Linked DNA regions of Callithrix jacchus. The protein of the gene in region 7 interacts with the protein of the main gene of each other region in a pairwise test. Links are inferred from orthologs where the notes say so. Each region holds a gene or a part of one and is shown on either strand. Other genes may lie near its edges.

Region 1 (4,051 bases), on a different chromosome or scaffold from region 7:
TTGAGACAGTCTCTTGCTCTTCTTGCCCAGGCTGGAGTGCAATGGCAAGATCTCGGCTCACTGTAACATCCGCCTCCCAGGTTCAAGTGATTCTCCTGCCTCAGCCTCCTGAGTAGCTGGGATTACAGGCATGCACCAACATGCCCAGCTAATTTTGTATTTTTAGTAGAGACGGGGTTTCTCCGTGTTGGTCAGGCTGGTCTCGAACTCCTGACCTCAGGTGATCCACCTACCTTGGCCTCCCAAAGTGCTGGGATTACAGGCATGAGCCACTGTGCCTGGCCTCCAAGGCAGTTTTTAGCTGCTATGAAGAGAGATGGACGAGCTCTTGTCATTGGAGGTATCCAGAATGGAAGTAACATCTTGGGAGAAATTATGGAAACCTGACTGCTGCTAAAAGGAAGCTGGTGCGGCCTCCAAATGGGGAAGGAAGTTGGATTCTAAGGTGGGTCAATTTGTCACATGGGGTTATTTCCTCTGACCAGAGAATGTGGACACCAAGGCAGAGGTCCCAGGAACCATTTTCTAAACAGTGTCCTTGGAATCGAGAGTTAAGGAAACAGTTAAGTCTGTTAAACACAGGAGGAAGGGGTTGGGGCTGTCTGGAAACAGCAGCCAAGCAGGTGACTGATGCCTAAGGTGTCACAACAGGGGACTGGGAAGCTGGGAACAGGAGTACCTCTGCTGGCTTCTGGATATTACAGGGGCTGGACCCAGAGGGATGGGGAGGAGAGGGTCTGGCTCCCTCTAGGGTGGCGCTGGTCCCCTCTGCATCATGCTTGGGAGTGGCCAGAGCCTCCTGGCATAGTCAACTTGAGCAGTGGCCACAGTCCCTTTCTTTTCTCCTCCTTTCCCCAAGTGCTATCCTGTTTATGCCTATGCTCAGAGCTTTCTCCTTTCTCTCCTGGGCTGTAGCTGAGGCTTGAAAAGGAGAAGGTCCCTGTTTCCTGCAGCCGATCTGATCTGGAGACATCCACATGCAGGCTCTGGTTACAGCCAGATGCTCAGGTGGCCGGGTAACTGCCAGATAGTGGGTAGAGGGATAGGAGTGAGCGTGAGTTACCCAGCACCCCAGGCAAGACAGGCTGAGCCTGATTCTATCTAAGCTGATTGCATCTCCAGATGATAACGTAGTGAACAAAGTGAGGAGCTCTGAGCCATTAGTACGGCTGCCCGGCGGAGGTACCAAACTGATTGAACAATCATTGGAAAGGCTGAGGCTGGGGAGGCCAGCGGGGCTGGGTGGCCTGTAGCCACATGGCTGCCTGTTGTCTTCCTTCAACTGCTAGAGGATTTAAACAATGTTCTTCAAATGCAGTACTAGTGCTCAAGGACAGAGGCTGCCCCAGGTGAGGTCAATGACCAGATCTCTGCCTCAGTGGCCTCCCCACCCACCATGAAGGAACCAGGGTAATTCACAGATGGGAGACCGAGGCCCCAGGATGCACAAGGGCAGAGCCAGCTGCCTCCCTGGAGGGATCATCCTCTGGCTGCCGTTCATGCCTCTTGCACAGGTGTGAACAGGGCGGGCATGAAGCAGTCTTGGCCCCACCATGAGAAGCCCTTAGGTGGGTTGGGAACCTGGCAGCCGCAGCCCTGAGACGGTCATGCTGGGTGACACCAGGTAGAGGCTTGTCACCATCGCTTGCTGCTAGAATGGAGCAGGTCCCAGGCCACCCTCACCTCTCCTATTGGGTCCCAGACCCCCATGTGTAGGGAGGGCAAGGCTGTGGGATGGCTTTTCTTCCCAGAAGGAAAGGAGCCCGCCTAGGACAGCACTTTACCTCTCGCTGTGCTGGCCGCTCTGGCCTTAGCTTCAGGGATTAGGGCCAGGCGGCCTCTTATTTTAGGTTAAGAGGCATTAGGAAGGGATGAGGAGTTAAGCCTAGGCAGGAATCTTACAGGGACCTGTGTATAACTTCCTCGTTCTGGGGGGTGGGGGTCAAGGCAAGTGGAGGCGGTCTGGGCTTCCTGCCATGGTTGGGGACTAGCTCCCGCCCTTGCCGTCCAGGAACAGTGGTCTCCTGCAGCCAGGGACGGGGCTTAAGGAATCCTCTGGCATGTTTAGCCAAGACCATGCACCAGGGTTCCCCGGCTTACAGGTGGCACCTTTCTCTAACCTACTCACGCTTCGACTTGGCAACTCCATTCTTCCCCTCACTCCCCGGCCTCTGAACAGCCCCCAAAGCACGTGGCTTCAGCCTCCTGCCCTCCCCATTCAAACCTTCTTACCACAAGGGCAGACAGAATGGCAGACTGCCCAACTCACGGCCCTTTTGTGCTTAAAACCTAGTAGGGGCTCTTCTGCACAGAGAACAAAACCAGAGTGTCTGGCCCAGGAGGTCCTGTGACCATCAGGCTACCCACACTCCTCCGCTGCTGCCTCCCAGGAAAGGGGTCTGAGGTTCCCCACTCCAGTTCGTGCTCACAGCAGCACCTGACTCCGTCTCTTCGGGGACTGTCTCCTCTAATGGTCTGCACTGCATCTGCCGCAGAGTCTCCCGGGAAGTTACCGGGAAAGCACCGACTGGATCACGCGGCTACAGGAGTGGAGTGAGGGGGCAGGTGTGCAGCCATCACCCTGGGTGTCTCCATGTGGGCTCCATGAGTGCAGGGGCAAGGACCGAGGCCCAGCACCTGGGTGAGAAAATCTCTTACCTCACAAGGCAGGCCCTGAGCTGAGGCCTGGGGAGGGAGCTGACCTGCAGGCCAGCAATGTCTCACTGAGCCTCGGTCACTATGGGTGAAATGGGCTGTGGAGATTCAACTCAGGGCAAGAACAGGCCCTTGGCTGGGACTCGGCACCCACAGGAGCCCTGGGGTAGCGGAACCACTGAGAGGCACTGGTAGTGAAGGCAGGAAGCGTTGGAGCCAGTGTCACTGGCGGTGAGAAGAGGGTGGGAGGCGTTTGCTTTAACCAGCTGAAACCTCCTCCACCTCCCCATCTAAGGACCTGCTGAGATGATGAAGTGGGAGGGTGCCAGAGCGGCCCCTCCTGCTCCCCAGGCTGTGAGGCAGCCCCTTTCCGTCACTGGCCTCTGCTGCCCTCTGCCCTGCCCCGGGGTGCTCTGCAGACCCAGCTGGGTGCTGGTCAAGGAGCCAGAGTCCAGGCCTCCTGCAACTCACCGTTACTGTGGTTTCCTGTTTGGAGGGACGCTGGGGGCTGTAGGTTGCTGCTCAAGGCCCCATACCCGCGGTAACTGTAGTTGAGGCCGCCGTTGGCGTACACGGGGTCCTGGGAGTAGGAGGAGGCTGGCAGTGAGTAGGTGGAGTGGGTGATGGCTGCGGAGTCCCGCGAGTGCTGCTTATCCAGGGCTATGGGCTCATCCTGCAGAGGGGAGAGGGTGGCGCTGGGGAAACGGGTAACCAGGCCCAACTACCATCCCTGAACACCAGGTGGATACACGCTGTGGCCCCAGGACTCCTGGGACCCAATGCTGTGGTTTGACCTGTGAGACTGTGTCTGTCTCGCCCCAGGGGCTTCCCCCAACTCTGCTCATCTCTCTGTGGGTTCACTTGACCAGCGCCCTCCAGTCTCAGGATGGAGCCCACACTTCCACATGAGGTCTGAGGACCTCTGAGAACACACCTGACCTCCACCCACCTCCTCGTCTTTGCCCTCCTGTTCCCCCTCTGCCCTCTCCCAACTGCACCCATCACAGCTCCCTCAGTCCACACCCGTCTGAGGACTGCTCTTTCTGGCTTCCCGGGGTGGCCCCTGCTGCAGCTGTGGTGGCAGGTACCTGTGAGGACTGGTAGATCTCCAGGCGCATCCGCTTGGCTGCCTTTCTCGTCTCGCTCTCACAGGCAGCTGCCAGGATGTTTTCTGCCATGGCCGAGGTCAGGTGGGGTGGCGTGGGTCTGGTCTGCAGGCAGAATGGGGAATGGAGCTGGCACAGGGCTCGTGGAGGTTCTGGGCTTGTGCAGAGACCCTGCCCCAGGGGTGGGTGGCACAGGGTGGGGTTTGGGCTCCCGCGCCTCAGTCTATGGAGCTGTGTGATCTTTCCAGGCCCCCTGGCACCCTGGGAGTGCGGCGGGAGGTCGGCTGGGG
Region 2 (4,571 bases), on a different chromosome or scaffold from region 7:
CTATCTCTCCCAGCCTTGGGCATGAAAAGAAATGTTGTCAGAAAGATATTTTTCTTTCAGGTTAGAAAAAATGGTGCAACTTTCCTGGGTTAAATTCTAGCCATAATGAAAACTTAAAGTAATTTAAGATGCTATCTGGGGAGGCGACGGAGTTTAAGGTTCCCTGGCCCCCATGGGAATCCAGAGAGCTACTTCTGTTTTACAGAGATCCCCAAATCCGGACGTGTATAAACTCACAAGGCAAACAGATGAAAGTGAAAAAACCAGACACCAAAAGTTACAACAGTAACCACCACACCATCTGCCCCCAAATACATCAGTAATCAAAGATTTCTTAACTTTTTTCCCTTCAAACAATGTGCAGTCCCCAGTATAGTAGGAACTTGATTAAGGCTAGCTGGGACTGTTCCCTGTTTATCTGGTGCAATACTAAGCTCAAAGGCAGAAACTTTTGCTTCCCCTGCAATACCTTCCTTGGAACAAAATATTGCCTAATGCATGTTTTATTTCAGAAACAGAGAGGAGAAAATCAGAGTTGGGTAATTTTTGTTGGGATTAAAAATGACATTTTTAGTTTTTTATACTGTTTCATGAAGGTCCTTTTTTTTTTTTTTTTTTTGCCATTGACACTGGCCCAATGCTATGACATTGCAAAATTGAGAGAATATAACAAAACACTTGACTTTGCCTACTAATTAGAAGAGTGAAACTGAGTAACAAACTCAAACATTTTATTTAAAATAAGGAGACTTTATGCTGTGGTAACTAAGTATTACTCATTGCAAGTACAATAAATATTTGTTGATCTGATTGATGTTACCGTAAGCCTCCTTCTCAGTCCAGTGAATGTAAAAATTTTACTGATAATCTAAAAGTATTAATTCCTATACACCACAAGTTCTGCATATCACCCCCCTCTTGGAATACACATTCACTTGCACATCTCCCCAACCAGCTCTTCGCAAGAGAGCTTGCTTTGGGGAGGAAATTTCAGGATAATCTGCAGAAGAAAACGACGACAGCGCTCCTGGAGCCGTCCTGGGGCTCAGTAGCAACTTACCGGCTCAAAGCGAAAAGAGACCGCCGGTTGGGGGTGGGTGGGAGGGGGCGAGGGGCGGGAAACTCCATCACAGACGCAAGTGAAAACTGCGGCTTCTAGATTCCATCCGAGAAAGAAAGATGAGAATCAAGGTTAGAAAGGAGTGGCAGGGCGGTGTCCCCTGCCTTGCTTTAATTCTCGCGGTCCTCGTAACCGCGGATCTGCATCACCCGAGCGGGAGTGATGACTCCAGTCCTCATCTCCCTTCTGGAGTCACCCAGAGAGGGGGTCTTCTCCGATCCCCAAGTGGTAATTAGGGGAGATCACAGCGGGCAGAAACTCCGCCAGAAGAGAAGAGCCGGGGGCCACTGTCCGCCTCAACGTTCCAGGAAGCCCCTCCGCGTGCCAGTGGGCGGGCACCCAGGCCAGAGGATGCGGGGCGAGGAGGCGGGTACCGGTGCCACTCCCGGCGGTCCTCGCCCGCCCCGCCAGGGGGAGCGTCTGCGCCCGACGGCGGCAGCGGGTCCTGGGCGGGCGGCGCAGGGCGGTGGCTCTGCTTGGCGGCTGCCCTCCCGCGTCCCCACCCCCTCCCCGCCCGCCCCCGGCGCGGCCCTGCCCGCCCCCTCCGCCCCCTCCCGCGGCGCCATGCGCAGACTCAGTTCCTGGAAAAAGATGGCGACAGCCGAGAAGCAGAAACACGACGGGCGGGTGAAGATCGGCCACTACATTCTGGGGGACACGCTGGGAGTCGGCACCTTCGGCAAAGTGAAGGGTGAGAATCACTGGGGTTAGGCTGGGCCCCAGGTGGGGAGCCGCAAGACTTCCGCTTTCCGCACCTCTTCATCCTCCCCCGCCCCCTACGTCCCTCCTCTCCGGGGCTGGGTAGCCCCTGTCCGGGCTCCTCTGGGAGCTCTTCCCGGCTGCCACGGGGCTGCGGCGCGGCCAGCCCTGGCCCAGTGGGGGTGGGGGGTGGACCAGTCGCCATGGCGACGGCGCCGCGGCCGGAGGGGCCAGTAGTAGCGAGGGGCGGGGTTGCGGAGGTGCAAACTTTCCCAGGTCGGGCTGGCGGGCGGCGAAGAGCGCTCTGGTGTTGGGAGGAGGGGGCGCCGGGCGCAATCCTCGGGGAGGAGGCCAACCGCGCGTCTGGGTTGTGCTCCCGTGGCTCTGGGCCAGCCCATCGCTCCTTGGCGGTCCTCGGCGTTGTCCGTGTTCCGTCGTCTGTAGGAGGTTGTCGATTACCGGCCCCCGCTGTTTCCCGAGTGTGAAATGTGTTTCCGCAAAAATAAGGTTGCTTTTTGGGTAGCCTACATCATTTTCTTTTTAAAGGCCATCTCGTCGGAAAGGATCACTGGTTTTCTTCTGAGCAGTTAATGAATATAAACTGGTTCAGTATTTGCGATGCATGGTTTACATTCCGAATGAGACTCTGCCTTTAGTGTTTCTGAATTATCAGGAGTTTCTCTGTGCGAAACTTGGTTGTTAGTGCAGATGTTGCCTCCAGATCGTATTCATTACGTTATTAATACAGTTCTTTTCCACTTATTTTCAGTTAATACAGTTTTCCACTTATTTTCAAAGGTTATTTGTATTATGATAAACGATTTATGTGCATATCATTTGAACGTGTGTTTAAAGAAAGATGTACTGGGTGCATTGTACACCATTCGGGTGATGGGTACACTAAAATCCCAGACTTCATTACTTTGCAGTTCATTTGTGTAACCAAAAGCCGCTTGGACCCCTAAAGCTATTGAAATTAAGAGAAAGAAAAGCATGGACTGTTTCAAAGCAATATTCTGGAAGTAAATTTGCTCTACAGCCCACCAATTCTGGCCAAAAACGTTTAATTGCAAGCTTTGCGAGGTATGACTCTTTTTTTCTTTAAAATATTTGACTTAGTTATAAGGGATGTAGAGAAAGGAAGTTTGGAACTAATAAAAATGCTTCATGCATTGCCTTTGGATAAATAGTAGACTGACTTGCATATAGTAAGTTCTTGGTAAATATTTGACTTCAAAGAAAAAAAGTTCGTAAGTCTGTATGGTAACTTAACTGAGACTTGCTCTCCCAGAGCTAAATAAACATTTTCTGATTTTGTCTGGGGTTGTAAGAGACTCTCTTGCCATTTTCTGAGTCATAGAATTGGAAAATTGCTGTATATCCCACAGGGAAGCAACTGCCTGAATCTTCTTGTGAAAATCGGCAAGGCCGACAATGTCCAGAGGAAGTAAGAAGCAAAATGCCAGAATCCGATAATAACAGCTGTTAGGACAGGTCCATATAAGGCCAGTAAGATGTTTTTGTGCCCTGGAAGTTTTAAGTTTATTTTTGGCTATGATATTTCTTGTTAGCAATTACCAACTGCTTTTTAGTTTACAAGTATTTGTAAAAAAATGTTCATTTTTGCCCCCACCCCTTCCCAGTGTTCAGATTGGATTAGGGTGTTCATTATTCCCCCTAATATAGACTTGAATGAAGCCAGGTCTGGTTTTATTTTTCCCCCAAGACGGAGTCTTGCTCTGTCACTCAGGCTGGAGTGCCTTGTCATAATCTCACTCACTGCAACCTCCACCTCCCGGGTTCAAGGAATTCTCCTGCCTCAGACTCCGGAGTAGCTGGGATTACAGGCGCACACCACCATGCCCAGCTAATTTTTGTATTTTTAGTAGAGATGGGGTTTTACCATGTTAGCCAGGCTGGTCTTGAACTCCTGACCTCGTGATCTACCCACCGTGGCCTCCCAAAGTGCTGGTATTACAGGTGTGAGCCACTGTGCCCAGCCTGATCTGTTTTATTTGCTAAGTGGTTTTTGGCACGGCAGGTAGTAAAGCAAGAGATTTTTCATCCTCTGCATTTGATCTGTGATATGGTTGTTACATGAATGTCTCCAGTGACTTTGCTGTTTCTTAACCTTCACTTCTCCACCCACATGTACTTCTATTGGAGTACCATGTTCTGTTAGAGTCAACAAACTCTCCAAATGTACAAAGGCCAATATTAGTCCAAGGATCATGGGTTTCATAGATATGTTTAGATTTGTTTATAATCACATTTGTCGATGTTGATCAGAATTTTTAACCTCTTCATTTTTAAGTTATCTAACACTTGGAATGCTTTTTGCCAAAAGTAATAGAAAACCCAGCTTAACCTAGTAAAGAACTTATCTGTGGTTCTTTCTCCAGAGCAAGGAAGGCCAGCATACCTCTTATGAGTCTTATTGTCTCATCCAGTCCCTCTGGCTAGAAATGCCATCTGCCAATTGGCTTATGCTGGTGTTCCTAAGCAGGCATTAGCAAGGGGGATGGCATTACCCTTAAAAGAATATGACCCACCCTTTGATGTGTCAGTGAGTGGGAGACATCTTTTTTTAAATTTTATTAAAAAAATTTTTCAATAAGTGATTGGGGTACAGCTGGTATTTGGTTACTTGATTAAGTTCTTTAGTGGCGATTCATGAGATTTTGGTGCACCCATCACCCGAGCAATATACACTGCTCCATATTTGTAGTCTTTTATCCCTCGCTCCCCTCCT
Region 3 (4,678 bases), on a different chromosome or scaffold from region 7:
AAGGAACATCAATGTATATATACCTATCATATTTTTATCGGACTTTAATAGTCATTGTGGATTATTATTTTTCTTCCTCCTTGTACGAAACATCGTGAGGGCAAGGTATAGGTCTTATTTTACTCTGTAAATCCTACTGCGAAACAGAGAGATTGTTGCTGGTTTATCTCTTCCTTCCTCTCAGAGGAGAAAACTTAAGAGAGTTCCCTCTTCTTTTTCTCTCTCTTTTTCCTCATCACTATTAGAAATGTTTCTAAATATCTCAAGGCCCTAATCTAGGCCCTTGAATCCTCAGTATTAATCTACACCAGTAAAAAAAAAAGGATCACACTGGCTATTCTTGCAGACCAGAGGTCTAAGGAACAATAGCAGAAAGATGTTCCTAACAATGGAAGCAAGGTCATAAGCTCAGCCGCCACTCCTTCTCTTACAATAGGTAGACTGGCTTCACCCAAGGCACATGGCGGAGAACCATGGCTAAGAAGAGACTGAAAGTAATAAGAGAGTATTCACAGCAGAGCTAAGTAGCCCAGACATGCACTAGAAACATAGTTCGACGTTACTAGCCTTGAGGATTTTATAGGGTATTTGTGTATTTGCTTATCTTTAAGAGACTAAAGAATCAAGTTCTTAGGAGAGAGAGGGCATGAAATAGTTTTAAGACACTAATTCAGTCACTCTTGTCATCATTCTGCTCCTCTATTCTCTTAAATTTGAGAGAGACAGAAACAGAGATAAAGAAAGTCACGCAGAGAGTGAGAGCGCGAGAGAGAAATTAACATTCGATAGTAATGTGATACTGTTGTCATTTCCTGAATGATGAATCCAATTGTCCAAATGTTCCGCTTTATAACAAGAGCATTTTTCCCTACATCAAATGCTTCTCCCTCAGGCAGGAGAGGCTGGTGCAGCAGTGGTGCAGGATTGTAGCTCTCATCCTATCACTTTCACTCAGTCACTTAAAGCTCCTCACACTCTCAAATTACACACATGGTTTTGGTTTGTAAATCACCATGGTAATAAGCACGACATAAATAACTCATAGAGTTCAATAGAAAAAAAAACTAACAATGACAATGAATAATTAGGAAGTAAGGACTTTGTGCATTAGTTCCAATTAAATTGCTCAAAATAAATACACACTTGTGCTTTCTCAAATCTGTGAGTGCTAGTCCTCTGCCTAGAGAGAATAAAGACAAAATAAATAATAGAGAGGAAAACAGATGTATTGATTCAAATGTACTTTTAAAAATAAGAAAGATGGTCTGAGGAGTAAAAGGGGAAATAGCCATTCACAGAGTGATACTGTGCACCCTCAAGAAAAACACGCTAACAAAAAACAAGGCTTTTAAAACAAGTAGTTTTAAGAAAAAAATTTTGCAACAGGTTAGAGTTAAATACAAAACTAGTGACTAAAGTGGAGATAAACATGCATAAGAAATGGTTAACAATGTTTAGTCAGCTCAGCCATGACAACATTAATGTAGGAAAAGTCTTTCTTTCAATATTTTGGTCATAGCCTGATAAGGAACCAACAAGGGTTTTCACACAGCACCTTAAAAGCCTGTCTTATCCTTGGGGTTTCTGCAGCCAATGAAAGTTTGTCACGATGATGTAATGCTCCTGAGTTGTGTTTCAGCACCGACTATGTGGTCACCGGGTATCATGCCTGAGAGCTAGGTAAGTTTTTGGATCAAATCTTTCTTTCCAGCCTGTTCCCCTGCTTAAACTAATTTCAGCAGAGAGATCATTTGTTTCTAGTCTATTTTACTATCTCTGAACAATTTTTTAATGTGAGCTGGGTTATTATAGAATTGTAAAGACAGCTGGTAAACAAAACGATGGGATCTTAGAGTCAATTTTCCTCTGTTATTAGTGTGAAGGCTTTTACTCCCCAGCAATTTATCGTCACTTCAGAGGAAAAGAGCAGCAAACACTGTTATGTTTTATTTGTTAAGGAAGCTGTCGTCATTTGACAAACAAGTTTTACTAGAGATATTTTCGGGGAGATGAAAAAGATTTCTTTTTAAAGACTGACACTGAATTTGACTGATATTATTAAATGACCCACAGTGAACTGTAAGCAGTAGAGTAAGTTTTGATGTTTTTTTTATAAACAGAGAATATGTAAGTCCTGACCTCACAGATTTTAAACTTAAAAAAGAGAGAGAGAACAAGGCAGTACACTAATTTTTTTCAATTCTTATTTAAGTTAACAACAATTTTAAAAGGAAAAAAACAACTAAATATTTAGTGACCCTCAGTGGCCTGACAGTTACATGACATTAAATGAAGAAAAGTTAGAGATCAGTAATCAGTAAATAAGCCAGTTTCAGTGAATGGCTGTACAGATGTTTTCCTAAACAATTTTTTAAAATTTAGAGCATTTAAAAAATTTGCATTAGGTAACCAGCAAAAGCAATGGAAATGTAGCACTTTTTTTTTTCTCTATGGTACTCTCTGCAGATGTGGAGGTTTTAAAGAACTGTTATTGATATCAGTCAAGCTATGGATTTCTAGCAAAATGAAATACAGGAAACAATTATCCAGATAATTCAGGATGTAGGGGGGAAATCTCCCAAAACTGTTACTGGGGAAAAGAGAATGAGTGGGGAAGAGGGAGAAGGGTTATCATGCACTACCTGCTACACTGATTAAACGACCCAGATGTTACTATCTTTCACCTTAACTCTGACTGTATAGACACAGACTCTGAGAAAGGCATCTTAAATATGAGTGTGGAAGAACTGTCCTCAGCAATGCCGAATAACAGAAAATGTCTTGTAGAGTTTCTAACAGGAAAAGTATTTTTTCTTGTCTTGTAGAACTTGATGTCTGGTAGGTCCTAATGCATGTGTTCTTTTAAAAGAAACTTCACTAGCTTTCAAGCTCTTTCTCTACCCTCAGCTGAGTTTATCAATTACACTTCACTGTCTCCTACATCTTCTTTCATTTTATCCTCCAATGAACTGGGCCGTCTCCCTACATACCATCCTAGTGGTAAATAGGTACTTCACCCCTTACATTTAATTATCGTCCTCTCTTTGTTCCACAGTTAACTCATTTTTCTCTCAGATTAATAACTGAAATGCTAAATAGTTTATTTTTCAAAACTTTAAGTTAAAAATATACTAGCATAATATAAACATGACTCATTTTCCTTTCCCCCACCCCCCAAATTTCCATGGCATTGCTTTGGTGCTGTAATTGATACCAACATGGAAATTTAAGAGAAAAAACTCCACATTTTGATAGCATCCTATGCTTTGCTCTCTGCATTGTAAGTTCTGAACAGGGAGACAACATGGTTAGAAGAAGGGCAACAAAGTATTGCTCTAGAATTGAGTGAATGAAGGAGCAAGGCTTCAGAGTGACTGATAAAGAGAAAAAACATTTCCATAAAAGAAAAACAGTATGGATAAGGGGGACTACAGTGCAAATGATGTGAAATTACCTGGTTTCTGACACAGAATTTTTGGCTTTGGGCCCTTGGTCAAGGCTGAGCCTGTGCTTTTATGACAGAGCTGCATGCAGTGTGTTGTAGCTCACTAGGCTTGGGTTCCGAAATCCCACAGCATCCAGCTAGAGGCATAAAGGGATCAGCGTGGGGTTGCACACACTCATTAGTCTGCAGAGTTGGCCCTCAGAAAGGCCTAGGAGGAATCTGCTTGGGGTTCTGCTTGACCTAGGAAACCTCTTTGATTCTCACTCTGTCTGAGATGCAACTGTGCAGTACACATCAGGATTTTTTTTAAACAATGTTTTAAATGGAACATATTGCTTAAAAAAAAGTCTTTGGGGCATAATCTGAGCACTGACCTGGACAAATAACGCACCCTTCTGATTAATCCTGATGACAAAGTAGGCCTCAGAAAAGACAATTCAAGGTAGAGCTCCAATTCCAGCATTTCTGAAATCAGGTGGACATATCTGAAAGAATGCCTAGAGGATTTGTGGGTGACAACGTCTGGCAACACAGAGAATAAGTTACTGGCTGAGGGAGATCTATGATCGTACTCTACTGTATACCACAAAAGGGGTGTTCAACAAAAGTCATTCCGCTTTAAGGACAGTCTCTTTAAATATGTCACTTTCCATTTCATCAAAAATTATCTTTTCATCAATAGCATCTTTTATAAACAGAAATGGTCTGAACTCATTGAGTTATTTATCCTACCCATTTATATGATGGAGAGGAAAGCCCACTGGGGTCATTATTAGAAAAAAAGAATGATAGGTATGCAAAGAAAACAGAAGTTAGCTATGCCCTCCAAGGTGAATACTGGGACTAGTGTACTCCCAAGATACACTGAAAATGTGGATGTGAGAGCATATAGGAGTAGGTGTAGCAGGAGCAGCCGTGAGAAACAGAGCTCTGGAACACCGAATGGGGAAGGAAAGGGTTTATTATTATTATTATTATTATTATTATTGTTGTTGTTATTATTATGGCAGGGAGCCAGGCGATGGTTCCAAATTACCCAGCTTGTCCAACAAAGGAAGGTTCTGCCTTTATATAAGCTTATACTTTAGATATTACATATGGAAGAATCTTAGGTTTGTAGCCTTAGAAATTACATATGAAGATTTACAGCTTTAGGACTCACCTGTGAAAAGATTTCAGGTTTACAGCTTTAGAAATTACATATGAAAGGGTTTCGGGTTTACAGTTTTAGGA
Region 4 (4,051 bases), on a different chromosome or scaffold from region 7:
AATTCACTTTTCAGGCCTCCCTAGTGCAAACGTCTGTGATGTGTTCCCTGCTTGCTCCCCTTCTGATAAGCCTGTACTGTTTGTTTCATTTGTCCAGGAATTATAGGTTATTGCTTCTTTTTATCGAAGCAGACTGCTAAATCCTTGTGGCCGGACATCACATCACATCACATTTTATATGTTTAATGCTCCCCCTTCCTCACCCACCTGCTGGCAACAATTTCATGTTGAATTGGACACCATGAACTTACTGAACAACCCTGACCCAGACATTTAACCTCTCTGTTCTCTGGTCTTCTCATCCGAAAATCAGAGTGTCAGCTTGGCAAGTTCCAGATTTGTAATGCAGGATGAACTTTGCTTAGTATCACAGAGCTAAGAGGTATCTGAGAGAGTAGTAGGTTGCCAGTACTCCCAGGAACAAGACAGCACACACCTGTCCATCAGCAATGTCTATGTCAAAGAGCCCAGGAAAGGTGAAGGGTGAAGGCATCAAATGCCCATCTCAGTGAGAACACAAATCCAGACACTCAAACCAGATGGCCCCAGCCTGGCCCTGAAGTAAGAAGGATCTGGAAAAAAGAACCTATCAGCTCCACAGAGAAAAATTACCCTCTAATCTAATGATGAAGACATAACACAAGGAACAGCTTGATGATGACTCAGAGGGGACAGGAATTTACATTTCCCCAAGAATGGCATAAAAGGCCCTTCCTGCTTTGGGAAAGGAGAAGCCAGTGTTCTGACGACATTCAGGAGGCTTCCAAGATGAGCGCTGCCAGGGAGGTGCACGCAAAGGTGATGACAGACTGGGTCTACTGGTCCTCAGGCAGGGCTGGGCTGAGTGAGACACAGCACAGCCTTCTGTCCAGGCTTCTTAAGGTCAGTGCTGCCCTCTACTGGCTGGCCTACAGAACACAGCCTGTGGGAGAAGGGGGTTGGGGAGAGCCTGGAGCAGCCTCCGACCCTGCAATGGGCCTTTCCCCCACTGTTTCACACACAGGTCTCAGCTTTCTTTTTGTTAAGTATGAATCACTTTAATAGGTAGAAGTGCCACCCCCTACCCACCCCATGCCTCCTATTTTCCCTGAGCTAGCATTAACAAAAAAAATAAAATAAAATAAAAGGGCTTGACTTTTAAATCTCTGATAAAAGTCAGAATGGTGGGATTTTTGAGCTAAAATCCTAAAAGTCATGCAGTCCCACCAGATTATCATTATTTTTAGAGATGGAGTCTCACTATGTTGGCCAGGTTAGTCTTCACCTCCTGGCCTTAAGTGATCCTCCCACCTTGGCTTCCCAAAGCACTGGGATTACAGGCATGAGCCACCACACCAGGCCCAATGGTAAAGGTCACACAGGTATCAACCAGAAAGTACTCATTCCTTAAGCCAGGATTGAACCCGGGCTGCCACTATAAAATGGCAAAGCTACAGATGCTGAGCTACAGCATTTCATCTAGTTTGCTGTGTTTTAATCTTTGGCTGGCAGGGCAGTTGCCCTGCCCCCTCCCCTCCTTCCTAAGGTTGACTCTAGGCTGCTGTCACTCACTCTCAGACATCCTTGCTTGGCAGCTCTGGGGTGGGCAACTCTGCCACCCTGGCCCGTTTGCTGAGTTCTTCACCAGGTGGTTCCTCGGCTGCTTCCAGCTTGCGTTTGGGGGATGCTGGGCCACTGGGTAGTGGTCTTGGGCCTGTAGGGAAGTGTGTCAAGGGTCACATAGACTGTGCTTACAGAGGTGTTCCCTGACTGCTCGAATCTCAAGTGACGCAGCAAAATGATCCTACACTGTGTAGCGGCAGCTCTTTAGGGGACAGGGAGCACACTCATCAATGGAATGCCAGCATGCTACGCCCCTGGCCTTGCTTTCGGCAGTGAGTTTTCCTGGAAATGTGAAAGGAGAACATGACCAACCAGGCTTGCTGGTAGCAGGGCCAGCTTTTGGGCCCCAAATGCCACAGGCTGTGGCCAGAGACTGACTTGGCCTGCCTGTTGTCCTTGCTTTGAAGGTGAGGCATTCCCTTGGCAACCCTGAATCAGCCTCCCTGAGCAGCAAAGAGCAGGGCCCCAAGGAGGCATGCTGCCCATGGAGGCAGCCTAGCTGGGGAACTAGAAAAACCCTTGTTCTGCCATCTCATGTTCCTGATCTTCAGTCCCAAGAAGGGAGGAGGCTCAGAATTCAGCGATCTGTCTAGTCTCTCTCTTTGCGGCCACCATCCTGTCTGTGCTGCCTCCTCCCTGGGCTCCCTGTGCCTACTCCAGCCTACACTGTCCAATCTCCACCCAGCAGGCTGGGGAGCTTTTTCAGGCCTAAGTCCAATCATGCCCTGCCCTATTGACTATCCTTCAGTGCACTGAAGGCTGAATCCTAGTCCTCGTCTCGGACATCAGGCTTGCCACATGCTGCTGATGCTGTATCTTCTCATTTCATTCCAGCTCTGCACTGGGACATAGCCGCCACACTGACCTCCCTTTGGTTCCTTGAATTGGCTAAGCTCGGTACTGTTTTTGAGCTTTTCCCTGCTATTCCCTTTGTCTGGAATGTTATTTTCTCAGTGGGTGGCAGGGCTGGCTCCTGCTCATAATGGGGGTCTCTGCTTCCACAGGTGTTCCCTGACTGCTCTAATCTCAAATGATGCAGAGGAAGCCCTCCTTCCCCAGCCCCTCTATCAAGGCACTCAACTTTCTTTTCCTCCAAAGCACTTGCTATCTGAAATGATCTGACTGCTGCAGGTGGAATGTAAGCTCCATCAGGCAAGGCCTCCTTGTGGCCTCAGTCCTGAATGACTGAAGTGGTGGCACAGGCCATGGAAGGCCACAGGAGGCAGCTGCTTCTCACCTGCACTGCTCATGCTCCCAGCCTGGCTCGAGCTGGGCTCTGCCACAGGGTGACTGAGGTCTTCCACACAGGAAGGGACAGATGCCAGGAGACCTGGGAGAGAGGCAGGGAATAATCAGAGTGCTGTCTTGCAGGACTGCAGAGGGTTACAGGGCAGGATGAAGCAAGCCAGGATGGGGAGGGTAGGACCAAGACACTGAGGTTCCCTTTCTTCCCACTGCCCCACAACTACTCAGGGAGGCCCAGTCCATCCCAGCCAGCAGTGTCCCACACCCCAGGAAGGTAGGTCAACTTAGCCTGAAAGACAGCACTAGCCTCCCTTTGCAAGTAACTAGACATCCCCATCTGGCCCCCTGAGCCTACAGGTGCTGTCCTTCCCTTCAGTGAGAGCTTGTCTCCTTACAGAGTCCCCGGTAGCGTGAGAGCTGCTGGTAAATCTGCTTCATTCGTTCAATGTTGAGCCGGCTGGTCTCGGCATGGTTGACGATGGGCCGTGGGTAGTCCACACCAATGATGCACTTGGCTGCCTTCTGAATGGACTCTGGGGCATTCCAGGGCTCATAGATGTATCGAGAGGGGAACCCTTTCAATTTGGGCAGGTATCGCCTGAAATAAGACACACCAGTTGACTCATCAGCATACCTAGATCCTCCTTCAAAGGGCCCGGGGTATCTCATCCTAGGAGGAGGACACAGTGGTCAGAAGCCAGAGAGCCTGGTCTGCATCCTCACCTGATGTAGTCTCCACTGGGGTCCGTGCGACGGCCGAAGCCCACAGGGCAGTAGCAGTGGAAGAACTGCTGGAAGAAAGCACTGCATGACAGCCACATCCAGCTGCCTGCATTCACGCTGAAATCTGCATCCAGGAGCAGCTCATCAAATACCTAAATAGGGGAGGGACGATCAGTCTCCTTGGGGACCTGCTGCCATGTTTCTTCCCAAGTCACCACAGTGCCCCCAGGAGCCAAAACTCTTCTGCTGAAGGCAAGCCACAGAAGATCTAGAGGGGATCTCCTGGACCCAGAAATCCCAACCCATCCCTCAGCCCAGATGGGGGCTGCCCTTTGCTGGGCCTGACCAGAGGGTACAGGCCAGCTTTTTGCTGAGAGAGCACTCACCCGGACCCCGCTCTCCCAGCTGACCCAGAGGTCCCCGCGGGTCAGGAAGCAGGCCACGGCGTGCCGGGCCAGGTGGTGGATCCAGCCCTCCTGCC
Region 5 (4,051 bases), about 37 Mb from region 7:
TACGGTAAAGAGCAGAGGTGGGATCCTTGTTGGACCCAAAGACCATCTTCTTAGCAACTACAAACCCTGCTCTTAGTGTAATCACTGGTAGAGGTCAAGGTTATCTACAGCAGGATCTTACAAATGAGGTTACTGAACCTGTGTGTGGCACTACCATCTTATACCATGTTAGACCTACAAGAACCCACCATTCAGGTGGTTGGATGCTGACCAATACTGCACAGCCTTCCTACTGGATGGCAGTTCTATAGGATACTATACACTCTGTAGGCAGATATGATTAAAAAGACCAGAGAATAGTTCTTTCAATGCTGGGCTTCCCTGAGCTACACAGATGACTTTTTGTTGCCACCACTATTTCCAGGACTTGTTCTGGAGCATCTCTTTTGGGCTTGTGGTTGGCCTGCAGATGGTGATTACAGATATTCCCCATAATAGAAACAATATACTAGGTTAGAAGTGACAGCTGGGAGGACTATGTATGTCCACATGAACACTTTATATGACCCAGAAAACACCAAATTTAATCTACACAAGGATTCTCATCATGGAAGAACTATGTATACATAGCCTGGAAGAATGGAAATAAAAATAATTCATGTGGTTAGGTGCAAAATCACAGATGACTGATTCAATGAAAACTTGATGTAACTTTTGTCATAATGTTGTCAGTGTAACAGAGCATACTGTTTTTGGAGAGATTCTCCCATCTTGGCCAGGGATACCCAGCCAGTGGCGGCCACAGACAAGAAGCCATTCACACCACATCACGTATGTGAAATCTTGTGCTTCCGTTCCAGGTTCCAAGATGCATGCTACTATGCAAATGCCGGGTAGACCTAAATATACTTACTCTTGCAACAATGCTTGCGGGGGGGACACTGAGTTCATTAAGGGGGGTGACATTTCTTCAGGATAATAATCTGTCCTCTGTGGTTCGATCCCAGGTTCTATTTTAATTTTTTTCTGTGATATCGGCTTCTCATATGATTCAATTACAGGTACTAAAAAACAAAAATAGAAAAGTCACTCCATGTACAATTTACCAATTTCAGCTTATAAAGGTTTACTGCACAGCTCCTATCTACTATACAGATATGAGAAATGTATTTGCCTGTGGCAGAATTATAGCAGGAACAAATCTGTGGGAGATTCTTGCTTCTCTTGACCATCATTTTGCCGGTAAGCAGCAAATACAGGGACCTGGATTCTAAGACACCAGCCCTGAAATGATTCTTTCTTACAATTCTGGATTATTTCCTTTTAAGACTATAGTCTTGTCTATGACCAGTTAGTAAACAAGGTGGCTGTTGATTGGCATTAGTTTTCACCACAATCAAAAAGTGTTTATTAAATGCCTTTGTACCTAGAACCACGTTGGGATTCAATAAAGCAACCTAAAGTCAAGGTTCTTTCTATCCCCAGGTTGACTATTACACAGTGAAAGTAATCATGTCATGGTATCAAACAGACAAGCCTGATTCTTGGGATCTCTTCCAGTATCAACACTTTAGGGGAAAAAAAGGAAAAATGAAATGCCTTAGGCAGATGAGTATTTCCTTTGAAGAGTTCAACAGCCCTTGCCCCGTGCTTCCTCACCCAGCCCGTCTGGTGAGGCGCCAGTACACTAGTAGGCAAGTGCAGCGGCATGGAGCAGAGGCGGAATTTACCTTGCATGCTACTGCTGGAATTTTCCATTTCTTCTGACAAGGAGACCATGAGAGGCTGTTGGAGGTGACTTGTGTACATAAAGGGGACGGGCTGCACCACCACTGGCTGGATGACGGGCAGGATGCCTGGGCTCCGTATTCCGTGGCGCGAGAGGGCAGCTGCCATCACTGGCGGCATGGACAGTGGCACGCCGAAGGGCTGCACTGGAGAAGGGGGTGAGTATTTTTTTATTGGTGGGCTAGAAGAAGGCATGCTCAATCCAGGCGAGGCTCTCCGGTGTGAGGACGGGAACTTCAGAGAGGAGGGCGAATTCCCAGCCGACGAAGGGGGTGAACTCCGCTTGTTCACCGTGAGGTCCACTGGCTCCATCTGTATTCCGTGCGACAGGCCTTCTGGGGTCTGAAAGAACTTATCAGGCAAAGGTGTAGAGTAGATGACCCCATACTTGTTGGGCTTCATGGATTCCATGTAATTAGATGGGTATGACTATAGGAAACGAAAAGGAAAACAACGTGTCAACAGCCAAATAAGTGCATTTTACTTGAAACATGAATTAAGACAAAAACATGCTAACAAGGCACTTAACAATCCCATGGGCTTTACAAAGTGGTTTAGATTTCGATATACACTTGACCTTAAAAAAATGCTCTCGGAGAAGTGGTCTCAACAACATTAAAAATACTACCAGAGCTGGGCGTGGTGGCTCATGCCTGTAATCCCAACACTTTGGGAGGCTGAGGTGGGCAGATCACCTGAGATTGGAAGTTCGAGACCAGCCTGACCAACATGGTGGAACACCGTCTCTACTAAAAACACAAAAATTAGCTGGGTGTAGTGGCAGCTGCCTACAACCCCAGCTATTTGGGAGGCTCAGGCAGAGAATCACTTGAACCTGAGAGGCGGAGGTTGCGGTGAGCCGAGATCACGCCATTGCACTCCGGCCTGGATGACAAAACAAACAAACAAACAAACCCCAAAAAACAAAGAACAAAGAAAATGCTACGAGAGGCAGTCTCATCAACATTAAAACTAAGATCAAGGTGGCCACTACTGCACATGAAAAATCTGAAATTTAACCCCAAGATGATTCCTGTGTCAAACATTAAGGCTGATACCTGGCAAAATTTTAAGACAGGCGCTAGCACAGGCATGGGGGCCATTATCATTAGGAGTCAGAGCTGGGGTTCACCAAGAACCAGCCAAGCCAAACCAACCTGTTGCTTTTCTGGTGGGGTTTCTTGATAAGCAGGAAATGCTCTCTAGCTTTAGTCTCTAACTTCAGCAGGACAGTGATTTCTCAGGATAAGTAGTCTTTAACTTCAGCAGGATATTGATTGCTCATCATACTTGTATATAATAAGGAAGAATGGGGCTGCATAACAGACCGTATCTTTCTTTTGAAGGGCTTCAGCGGCTGAACAATCCATGCCTAGAATTGGCCAACAATCCTAGTCGGCCTTAACTGTCCTGCTTTCAGCACTGAAAGTCCCACATCCCATGAAACTCTACAGTCTCAGGCAAACCAGGAGGGGGTCAGTCACCATACACACCTCTGTCCTGAAGGCCACCCTCACTGGGGCAATTATGTCCTTGGCCCTAACTTGCTCAATGTTCTTATTCAGAATCTGAATGAAGCTGTAGACTTGAATGCCAAGTCTGTGGGTGACACAGAACTGTAAGAAACAGCTAACGTGCTATGACTTGAATAAGGAAATGTGGTGGTCAGGGTCATTCACACAAGCTGAGGCCCCGTGTTCTCTCCTCTACACACTGCTACCCATTCATCAAATGAGGCTGGGGGACAAACAAGGGAGAGAAGAGACAAGAGTCTGTTTCCTTCCCAAGATCTGATACACAACGGACCTCATTTATCTTCAAACACCTTTCTCTTTTAAAATACCACAATAACCTAACTTTCATCTGCCATCTTTAAATACAAACCAATCATAATAATTTCACACTATGGGCACTATCCTTGACTATGGAGTTCACCTAAATTACTTCTATTCCTTAACTAACATTTTGTTGTAAATTTTCTTTGTAGAATGCAACATATTTTGATTTTTAAAAAAATTAAACAAGACAAACCAACTTCTTCGCTCGGCATTTTAGGGAAACTGAAATTTTGCATGTCAAGCCTGCTTACCTGCAGAAAATTCTTTGTACTTGAATGGCTGACATTGACATTGATAAACAACATATGGTGCTTCTCTTCCAGCTCTAAAATCCTAGGTGTTTGTGATTTAGAGGCAATGCTAACTCGGGATGCAACAAAGAAACCCCCTCAATGGCACCTTAAAATTAAACCACCTAAATGTGCTATTCATTTCTGGGCCTCCTAAGCCCCTGTAGGGGCCACTATTGTGAGTTATGATTGTGG
Region 6 (4,550 bases), on a different chromosome or scaffold from region 7:
ACAGTGCTCAGTCCATAGTGGGGTTTGTGGGATTGGAAAATGTCCTTTCATAGGACAAGTGCTTTGCTTAAATTAGTGGTTCTCAACTGGAGGTGATTTTGCCTGTCTCCCCCCCACACCACCCCTGGAGACATTTTGTTGTCACAACTGGGGTAGAAGGTGCTACTGACATCTAGAGGTCAGAAAATACTACAAAACATCTGCAGTGCACAGGACAGCCCCACACAACAATTCTGCCCACAGTGACAGCAGTGCCAAGGTGGAGACACTTTGGCTTAGATGGATGCTGCACTTTTGGCTCTTTGGGCTCCCCTTCCAAGCAAGCAAGTCCCCAGTTGTCACAGTCATATTTGAAATGGATGCAATTAGATGCCGCCTAACTTATAACCATACTCTTGTACTCCCTTCCTGTGTTTACGTACAGGTAAACATACAGGTGATCTAAACTCTCTGTCACTCATTTACAGCAAATGTTTTGGCTTACTCCATGGAGAGTTAATCACACTCATTCAGTAAAAATTTAGCTAATAGAAAGCTTGGAGAACAATCTTGGAGGCTTCTTCAGTGATGCTTCCCACTCCCAGCAAGATGCTTCTATGTTTATATTACCATAGGAGCTAAACGCCAGGCTTCTCTACAATATAATTTGATTACTCCGTGCTTTAATTAAAAGAGACCAGGGGAAAAAAGTCTGTTCCCACCATTTACCAGCTGTGTGTGTGACTTTCGGCAAGGTAATTAATTCACTGGAGGCTTAGTCTCTTTTTTTCTGTAAATAGGGATAACAATGCCTGATTTACAGGATCGTTGGAAAGATAAAATACAGTGTATATAAGTGCAGAGCACTACTTGATGCATAACATCCTCAATAAATATATTAGTTCCCTTTCCCTTGTGATGCTACCATACCCAAATAGCCATAGTGATGTTTCCTTTTCTTGCACTTCAGCTTTTCTTTTTCTAAGTCGGTCTCTGTTTCTCAAACTCCAGGTTCCAATGACTTCTGTAATAAAATGAAAGTTATTAGAGAAAGTGATGAACTGTGGTGTTTATCAGCAAAAGTCCTATAGTCAAGTAGCAGAATCTCTATGCTAGGTTTTCCTCCTAGCTTTTTGAAGACAAGGACTACATCTCATTTATCTTTGTATCTCCGGAGAAAGCCTGGAAGCAGACATTCACCAAATGTTTTTGAATGAAAACGTCAGAGACATACTCACACAGAGTATTTGTACATAAATGTGCTACCAACCTATTCATTTCTTCAAAATAAGTTTACATATTGTACAAATAATGAAAAAAGCAGCCATATTTTGCTGTCTTTAACATGATAATTTGTTTTCATTTTATTACTCGTTTCTGTCCATTCCTTTTATTATACAAAGTTGTAAGAATAGCATACCACAATTTTATCTTTTTATTAACCTAACATTATATTAGAACTATTTTCCATGATGTAGTCTTCATAATGATAATTTTAATGACAATAAAATACATAATCTAGTTGATGTACTCTCATTTACCCAGTGCTTCCTCTTGGATTGAGCATGTAGGTTGTTGCTAGTAATCTTTGCCTTGTATATCAAATTATAATAAGCATAGTCATTGCATATAGCTTTTCTTTTGGATTTTTTCCTTAGAATGGTGTTTCTTCAAGGTCTTTGGAAAATTAAGGGTATGATCAAAAAAGTTTCTGCTGCCAACTAAGGTTGAGAAAAATTAATGAGTCTTTGATGTAGAGCTTCCTAGAGCCTGTGAAGTGATGCACATCTGCACTGGGACCTCTGAAGGATAGAGCATGCCCCTTCAACCATGGTTGAAGGCTCTTTATAGAGAAAAATTATACCTTTATTTTTACCAACATCTAATTAAAGTTGACATTTCCTTCAATTATGAATGTAGATAACAAACCACAGTAGTTTTGGCAGTATATGACTTTTTTTCCTTCAACTTTTAAGTTCAGGGGTACATGTTCAGGATGTGCAGGTTTGTTATGTAGGTAAATACGTGCCATGGTTTCCTGCACAGGTCATCCCATCACCTTGGTGTTAAACACAGCATCCATTATCTGTTCTTCCTGATGCTCTCCCTCCCCCACAGTATATGGCTTTGACCCCATAAAGAAATCACATATTTTTATATAACATTGCTGTTGTTGCAGATACCTTAAAATATCACTTACTGGCTATTATTTATTTGACTTGATACTATTATTATTAGACCCACCACTGGATATTGTTATCTAATGCATCTATAAATAATCATATGTACATTACTATATCACAGTTTTTAATTTTGATATTTGTATTTAATATAATTATTTCCTTTGTAATTTTATATATTTAATTTTATGCCTTTAAAACTTTTATTCAAAGAAGGAGTCTGTGAGTTCATCAGAATGCCAAAGAGATCCATGGAGCAAAAAAATTTTAAAACAATGTCTTAGAGTATCTGAAGGCCTAAGGTTCCACAAAACATTTTGAGAAATGCTGCTTTAGGATAGATCCAAGGACTGAAATTAGTGAGTCAAAAGAATGAGCAGTGTTATAGCTCTCACCACTTATTGCCAGATCTCTTTCCAAACGTTTGACCAAATTTATGCTACCATAGAAATGTATGAACTCACTTGTTTTACCACAACCATCTAATGAAATTATTGGATGAAAGGGTCGTCTCATTAGCTTTCATTTAAATGTATTTCCTTTTTTTTTTTGGCCAGATCCACTGAAAAGAGAAAATTATCATACCCCAAATTCTTCCCAATAGCCACCAGCCCTTAAGGTATTTTTCATTACCTGGAGAATGGTTCTCTTCTTGAAGAGGATCAAGTGTCTGATGGTGCTTCAAACAAGATTGGTCCTTTCCAAAATCCATCTTGCTGTAATACCTTCCTGCTATTTTGGTCTGACTTCCACAACCAGTCTAAACGCTTTTTAAAAATATCAAAAACAACTAACACTTAAAAAAAAAAAAAAACCACACATACAAGCTTGCCTGTCGCTTGACTTCCCGCCTAAAAGTTTTATCTGGCTGGACCACAACTTCAGGCTAATTCTACTTTCTTTATCACACTGCACAGGTGTGAGCAGGGGAAATGGCTGGTGCTAGCAACCTCTAGCATAGGTTGCTATTTATACAGGGAAACTCTGGCCACAGCCTGGCATGGCACAGCCTCCAGTCAGCACTCTTTGGTTCTATCTGCCAGGAAGTGTCTGGATCCGATGTTCCTTTTACAGACAGAGGTGGCCTGGTATAGAACACAATCTAGGCTCCAACCAGCACAGTGGCCCAAAGCAAGTCACCCCCCTTTTCTATGACTCTCTTTCTGCATTTGCAAAATGAACAAATAATTTCTGTCTTGCCTAATTCATACAGTTCTTGTGAAAGTGAAAATAATGGATGTGAAAATTTTTAGAAAGTATGAATATATATTAATCTTACATGGTTTCCTGTATGTGGATTTTTTTCACCTTAATCTGTTGCAAAATAATGTACAGTTTTGCTGTGTATGCTGTTAGACTTAGATAAGAAATAGACATAAAGAACCAAGTTAGAAATTCACAGTAATTTTGTACCCTTTTTTGCTCACCAAATCATTCACAAGTGACTCAAGATAACTGGTGAAATCCATTGTTACTCATATAGGGGAAGGTAAAAAATTATTTCTTAATGAAAATATCACTACCTTGTATCACAGAAATTAAGTTAAGATCATCAAAGGAAACATCCTGTCTCCAAGCAGTCACCCCATTTTGGAAGACAAGGAGCCTATGGTTCAATAAGGAAGAAACCCTGAGCACCTCCTCATACAGGAAGCCAGTCTGGGAGACGCAGGGTTAATCTGTGTGTTCGTATTCATATTGAATTGAAGTGAGTTTGAATTCCAGTGTTGTCATTCCCTAATTCAGTGACCTGAGGCAAGTTAGACAGCCTTCGAGTCAATGTACCTATTTATAACTTGGGGACAATATTGATATCTACCTCATAAAGTTACTGGGATAATTAAGTCCACTAATCCATGTGAGGCATTTGATGTGTGACTTGCATATTTAACTTGGTCAGTAAATGTTAGCTGCCAATAAAAATACAGTCACCAGATTTTGGTAAACCAAGTTGTAGTTTAAATGCACTAAAGAAAGAGAAAATCTGAAAAGAATTCTTTATAAAGAAAGACCTTTGTAATGTGAATAGACACCCACTACTTCCATGGAGTCTTAAGGCATTGGAACTGGGAGAGCCCCAAATCATGCAGTCCCTCCCTATTTTATATATGAAGAAACTGAGAGCCAAGGAATAGAGTTACCTATACTTACTACTTATTGCCAGCAGCATCTCTTACAGATTAGGAGATAGCTTATCATTTTGTGTGCTTAATCTTTCCTGGGTATAAAAATGTGTGTATGATGTAAGCATATTAGAGAAACAAGCTATCAAATACACTGAAGGGTATCAAGAATGATATAACAAACACCCAAGTATCTGCCATTAACATTTAACTTGGTTTTTAATTACTAAATTCCAATGTTTAGCTTTACCTCTCTCAGTTCCCTGGT
Region 7 (3,665 bases):
CCTTCCCTGCCCACCTTCCTGCCAGGCCAGGCACTTGTCTTTGCTCAGCCTCTTGCTAGCCAGCACTGGGGGAGTTTGCCCTCCACTGTGTGATGAGGATGGAGCCATGGGCTCCAGGCCTGCCTTGCCTCAATGCTGGGAGGCACTGGTTGTGCTCCGCAGCCTCTCTTTGGGCAGGGCTCCCAACCAGCCAGGAGAGCATGAGGCTCCAGTGTCTGTGAGTGGTCCCCGACGGCCCTGGCCATGGAGCCACGGGGTCACATCCCTACCTGCAAACAGTGCTCTGGGACCCCAGGCAGCCCTGGGCTGGATGTTAGTTACAGAAGATACCCTCGGCAGGGGCAGGATCAGCTTGTGGGACCCACAGACCCTTCGGTGGAGAGGGGCCAGGCCAGTATGTCCCCCCCATCAAGGCTGCTCCCCTGAGGGCTTGGAGATTAAATCCCACTGCTGTCAGGAGCCCCCAGTGGGTCTGACTGTCCCAGGCTGTGCCCTTGTGCTCAGCCCACCTGCCCAGCAGAGCAGAGGCCGTGGGGTCTGCTTCCCAGGCAGGGCCCTCCCCACCGGGGGTCCAGTGCCCAGCCACCTTCCCCCGCCGAACGCAGGCACAACACTTGGGCTGCACTGACCATGCCGGTGCTGTTCCCAGCTTTAGCCAGGGCCCCCTGAAGGACGCACCCAACCTCATCTGCACCCCCCACGCTGCATGGTACAGTGAGCAGGCATCCATCGAGATGCGAGAGGAGGCAGCACGGGAGATCCGCAGAGCCATCACAGGTGGGCACGGGGGCAGCCCGGTCAGGCCTGGGGAGCTCCGCAGAGCCATCACAGGTGGGCGCGGGGGCGGCTCGGTCAGGCCTGGGGAGCTCCGCAGAGCCATCACAGGTGGGCGCGGGGGCGGCTCGGTCAGGCCTGGGGAGCTCCGCAGAGCCATCATAGGTGGGCACGGGGGTGGCTCCATCAGGCCCTGCACCCACCTGTGGTAGCCTGGGGGCCCCCTTCCTGCCAGCCCCAGGTGCTTGTGGGCTCACATCTGCCCAGCATCCGGGCTCATGTTCTGCCAGCTCAGGGCTGTGGTTCTCACTTCTCTCACCAGGGCCCCTCAGGGGCCTCTGAGGCCAAAGTCAGGCTGAGCCCTGGAGCCATGTCTTACACACAAGACCTGCCGGTTGGGGCCTGTGAGCTGCTCTGGGAAGTTCCTGGGCTGAGCAGACAGGCCCCTGAGCAAGCTGGGCACATGCTCTGGGCTGGGGGTTGCCTACGCTGTGAGGGTGCTGGCCCCCAAGAGTACCCAGCTGTGCCTGGGGAGCCCCAGGGCCGAGGGCAGGAGCACAGGGCCGAGGGCGCTGCAGTTCATGTCCTCAACCCAGTGGGCCATGCTCCTGGGGTCCCCTCAGAGCCACAGCTGTTCCTCCCTCCTACGTCTCCCAGGCCGGATCCCAGACAGCCTGAAGAACTGTGTCAACAAGGACCATCTGACGGCCGCCACCCACTGGGCCAGCATGGACCCCGCGGTCGTGCACCCCGAGCTCAATGGGGCCGCCTACAGGTGAGCAGACCCACTGGGCACTTAACAGCCTCCATGAGGGTGGGTGGCTTCCCCTGGATCCCAGCACAGCCCCTGACAGGAGGGGCGGCGTCTCTGCTGAGCTGGAGGATCTGGGTGGAATTGGTGCCCACCTCACCCAAAAGTCCCACAAGAACCAGGGCCCCTTGGAAGGAGCCTGGGCTGGGTGGCCTTCAGGGCCCAGTGGACACAGGACTGCTGGGCAGAGGCCTGTGGGCACGGGGGCTATGGGAGCAGGGGGCTTTGGGTGAGGTGAGGACCTCATGTTCCAGTTGCCTGGAGACACCAGGGCTCCCCTCCCCTGCCCTGAGAAGTAGCTCCCGTGGGCAGGAGCGTCCATGCAGAGGCAAGAACCCTCCCCCTGACTGCTGGTCCTCCAGGAGATGCCCCCTTGGTGCCACTGCCAGTGTGAGGGCAGGTGGGGCCCGGCCAGGTTGCCTACAGGTGGGCCCCACGGCTGGACCCTCTCCCAGCAGGTACCCTCCTGGCGTGGTGGGTGTGGCCCCCACTGGCATCCCAGCTGCTGTGGAAGGCATCGTGCCCAGCGCCATGTCCCTGTCCCACGGTCTACCCCCTGTGGCCCACCCGCCCCACGCCCCTTCTCCTGGCCAAACTGTCAAGCCCGAGGCGGATCGAGACCACGCGAGTGACCAGTTGTAGCCCGGGAGGAGCTCTCCAGCCTCGGCGCCTGGGCGGAGGGCCGGAAGCCCCTCGGACCAGAGTGTGCAGAGGAGGTGCCTGCGTGGCGGCCGTGGCGCTGCAGAGACTGTCGGGCAGTGCAGGAGGCGGGTGGGCAGCGCCGGGCCCGTGTCGGTTTTCGTCGTCCGTCCCGTGGGCTCTCTGTCCTGTGTCCTTCGCGTTCCTCGTTAAGCAGAAGAAGTCAGTAGTTTTTCTCCCATGAACGTTCTTGTCTGTGTACAGTTTTTAGAACATTACAACGGATCTGTTTGCTTAGCTGTCAACAAAAGGAAAACCTGAGGGAGCATTCCGAAGTCAACTCGAGGTCATTTTCTCCTTTTCTATGTTGGAACGTGCCCCGGATGAGGCAGTTGGCAAACTTCTCAGGACAATGAACCCTTCCCGTTTTTCTTTTTATGCCACACAGTGCATTGTTTTTTCTACCTGCTTGTCTTATTTTTAGAATAATTTAGAAAAACAAAACAAAGGCTGTTTTTCCTAATTTTGGCATGAACCCCCCTTGTTCCAAATGAAGACGGCATCACAAAGCAGCTCCAGGAGGAGAAGCTTGGGCGGTGCCCGGCACGCCCGCTGCCCGTCGACGTCTGTCCTGGAGCCGTGGGGGGTGGCAGCGTCCCGCCTGCACCGGTGCCGTCCTGCTGATGTGGTAGGCTAGCAATATTTTGGTTAAAATCATGTTTGTGACTGTAACCATTTGTATGAATTATTTTAAAGAAATAAAAATCCCGGAAAGAGCCCGCGTGCCTAGCGTCTGTTCTAGTGACGGTCTCACGAGGACACGGGTTAGCCTCAGTCCCGGCTATGGTGACCTCCAGGGCCCAGCTCAGCCTCTCTGAAGTGGGAAGCCCAAGAGAGACCCAGAGACAGTGACATGGCAGGTCGGGCAGTGGCCTCTGCCCGCTTCATCTGTGGGACACTGTAGGGTCGTGGCTTGGAGGCGGCCTCCCTGTGGGAGGGGAGCGTTGTGCCAGGCCGGGCCGTTGTGTTGATGATGGTCTGACTGGCTGAGGTCTGCCCCACGGCCCACCGCCTCCCTTCTCGGCAGACCTCCCTCAGGCCGGCCTACAACCTGGGAAGACTGTGGGCCACAGAAGGAGGGAAAGCAGACGTCAGGGCCAAGGAAGCTGCCCAGTCCACGGGTCATCCAGCCTACAGAAATGTGCCAAAAAGCCGAAAGGGGTCACTCCTCACCTTGGCCCACAGCCGAACCTCTTCGAAATCCCAGCCTGCTGGTTCCTCAGACTTTCCTTTGGAAGTGTGGTCCATGCATGTCAGCAGAATCCCAGCTCATTTTTGAGATGAACTCTGATACCAGACACCCCGGAGGAGTGCTTCCAGGCAGACTCCTGCAGGTGGGTCCAGGTAGTGCAAGGAGGGGCTGCAGCGGGTACTGGGGGAA

What was found.
Region 1: the proteins of CTBP1 (region 7) and NOL4L interact in binary tests that used the Homo sapiens proteins (3 or more experiments, as listed by UniProt). The link is inferred for Callithrix jacchus from reciprocal best matches to the Homo sapiens genes CTBP1 and NOL4L.
Region 2: the proteins of CTBP1 (region 7) and PRKAA1 interact in binary tests that used the Homo sapiens proteins (3 or more experiments, as listed by UniProt). The two-hybrid records come from large-scale screens. The link is inferred for Callithrix jacchus from reciprocal best matches to the Homo sapiens genes CTBP1 and PRKAA1.
Region 3: the proteins of CTBP1 (region 7) and KLF12 interact in binary tests that used the Homo sapiens proteins (3 or more experiments, as listed by UniProt). The link is inferred for Callithrix jacchus from reciprocal best matches to the Homo sapiens genes CTBP1 and KLF12.
Region 4: the proteins of CTBP1 (region 7) and CRY2 interact in binary tests that used the Homo sapiens proteins (3 or more experiments, as listed by UniProt). The two-hybrid records come from large-scale screens. The link is inferred for Callithrix jacchus from reciprocal best matches to the Homo sapiens genes CTBP1 and CRY2.
Region 5: the proteins of CTBP1 (region 7) and KLF3 interact in binary tests that used the Homo sapiens proteins (3 or more experiments, as listed by UniProt). The link is inferred for Callithrix jacchus from reciprocal best matches to the Homo sapiens genes CTBP1 and KLF3.
Region 6: the proteins of CTBP1 (region 7) and HEMGN interact in a two-hybrid assay, tested with the Homo sapiens proteins (2 studies listed by BioGRID and IntAct). The link is inferred for Callithrix jacchus from reciprocal best matches to the Homo sapiens genes CTBP1 and HEMGN.

Annotation. Positions count from the first base shown.
Region 1 is NC_133506.1:6,763,988-6,768,038, reverse strand, and holds part of NOL4L (nucleolar protein 4-like), read right to left. Parts: intron 3,867-4,051; coding exon 3,744-3,866; intron 3,329-3,743; coding exon 3,127-3,328; intron 1-3,126.
Region 2 is NC_133503.1:164,777,080-164,781,650, forward strand, and holds the start of PRKAA1 (5'-AMP-activated protein kinase catalytic subunit alpha-1), read left to right. Parts: upstream 1-1,466; 5' UTR 1,467-1,471; coding exon 1,472-1,811; intron 1,812-4,571. UniProt on the Homo sapiens protein: Catalytic subunit of AMP-activated protein kinase (AMPK), an energy sensor protein kinase that plays a key role in regulating cellular energy metabolism.
Region 3 is NC_133502.1:40,952,487-40,957,164, forward strand, and holds the start of KLF12 (Krueppel-like factor 12), read left to right. Parts: upstream 1-1,630; 5' UTR 1,631-1,680; intron 1,681-4,678. UniProt on the Homo sapiens protein: Confers strong transcriptional repression to the AP-2-alpha gene. Binds to a regulatory element (A32) in the AP-2-alpha gene promoter.
Region 4 is NC_133511.1:110,894,936-110,898,986, reverse strand, and holds part of CRY2 (cryptochrome-2), read right to left. Parts: coding exon 3,957-4,051; intron 3,723-3,956; coding exon 3,571-3,722; intron 3,446-3,570; coding exon 3,243-3,445; intron 2,933-3,242; coding exon 2,840-2,932; intron 1,694-2,839; coding exon 1,554-1,693; 3' UTR 1,552-1,553; intron 1-1,551. UniProt on the Homo sapiens protein: Transcriptional repressor which forms a core component of the circadian clock.
Region 5 is NC_133504.1:155,141,645-155,145,695, forward strand, and holds part of KLF3 (Krueppel-like factor 3), read right to left. Parts: intron 2,158-4,051; coding exon 1,671-2,157; intron 1,005-1,670; coding exon 854-1,004; intron 1-853. UniProt on the Homo sapiens protein: Binds to the CACCC box of erythroid cell-expressed genes. May play a role in hematopoiesis.
Region 6 is NC_133502.1:146,067,351-146,071,900, forward strand, and holds the start of HEMGN (hemogen), read right to left. Parts: upstream 2,922-4,550; 5' UTR 2,872-2,921; coding exon 2,793-2,871; intron 1,004-2,792; coding exon 910-1,003; intron 1-909. UniProt on the Homo sapiens protein: Regulates the proliferation and differentiation of hematopoietic cells. Overexpression block the TPA-induced megakaryocytic differentiation in the K562 cell model. May also prevent cell apoptosis through the activation of the nuclear factor-kappa B (NF-kB).
Region 7 is NC_133504.1:191,958,826-191,962,490, forward strand, and holds the end of CTBP1 (C-terminal-binding protein 1), read left to right. Parts: intron 1-649; coding exon 650-885; intron 886-1,431; coding exon 1,432-1,549; intron 1,550-2,040; coding exon 2,041-2,227; 3' UTR 2,228-3,000; downstream 3,001-3,665. UniProt on the Homo sapiens protein: Corepressor targeting diverse transcription regulators such as GLIS2 or BCL6. Has dehydrogenase activity. Involved in controlling the equilibrium between tubular and stacked structures in the Golgi complex.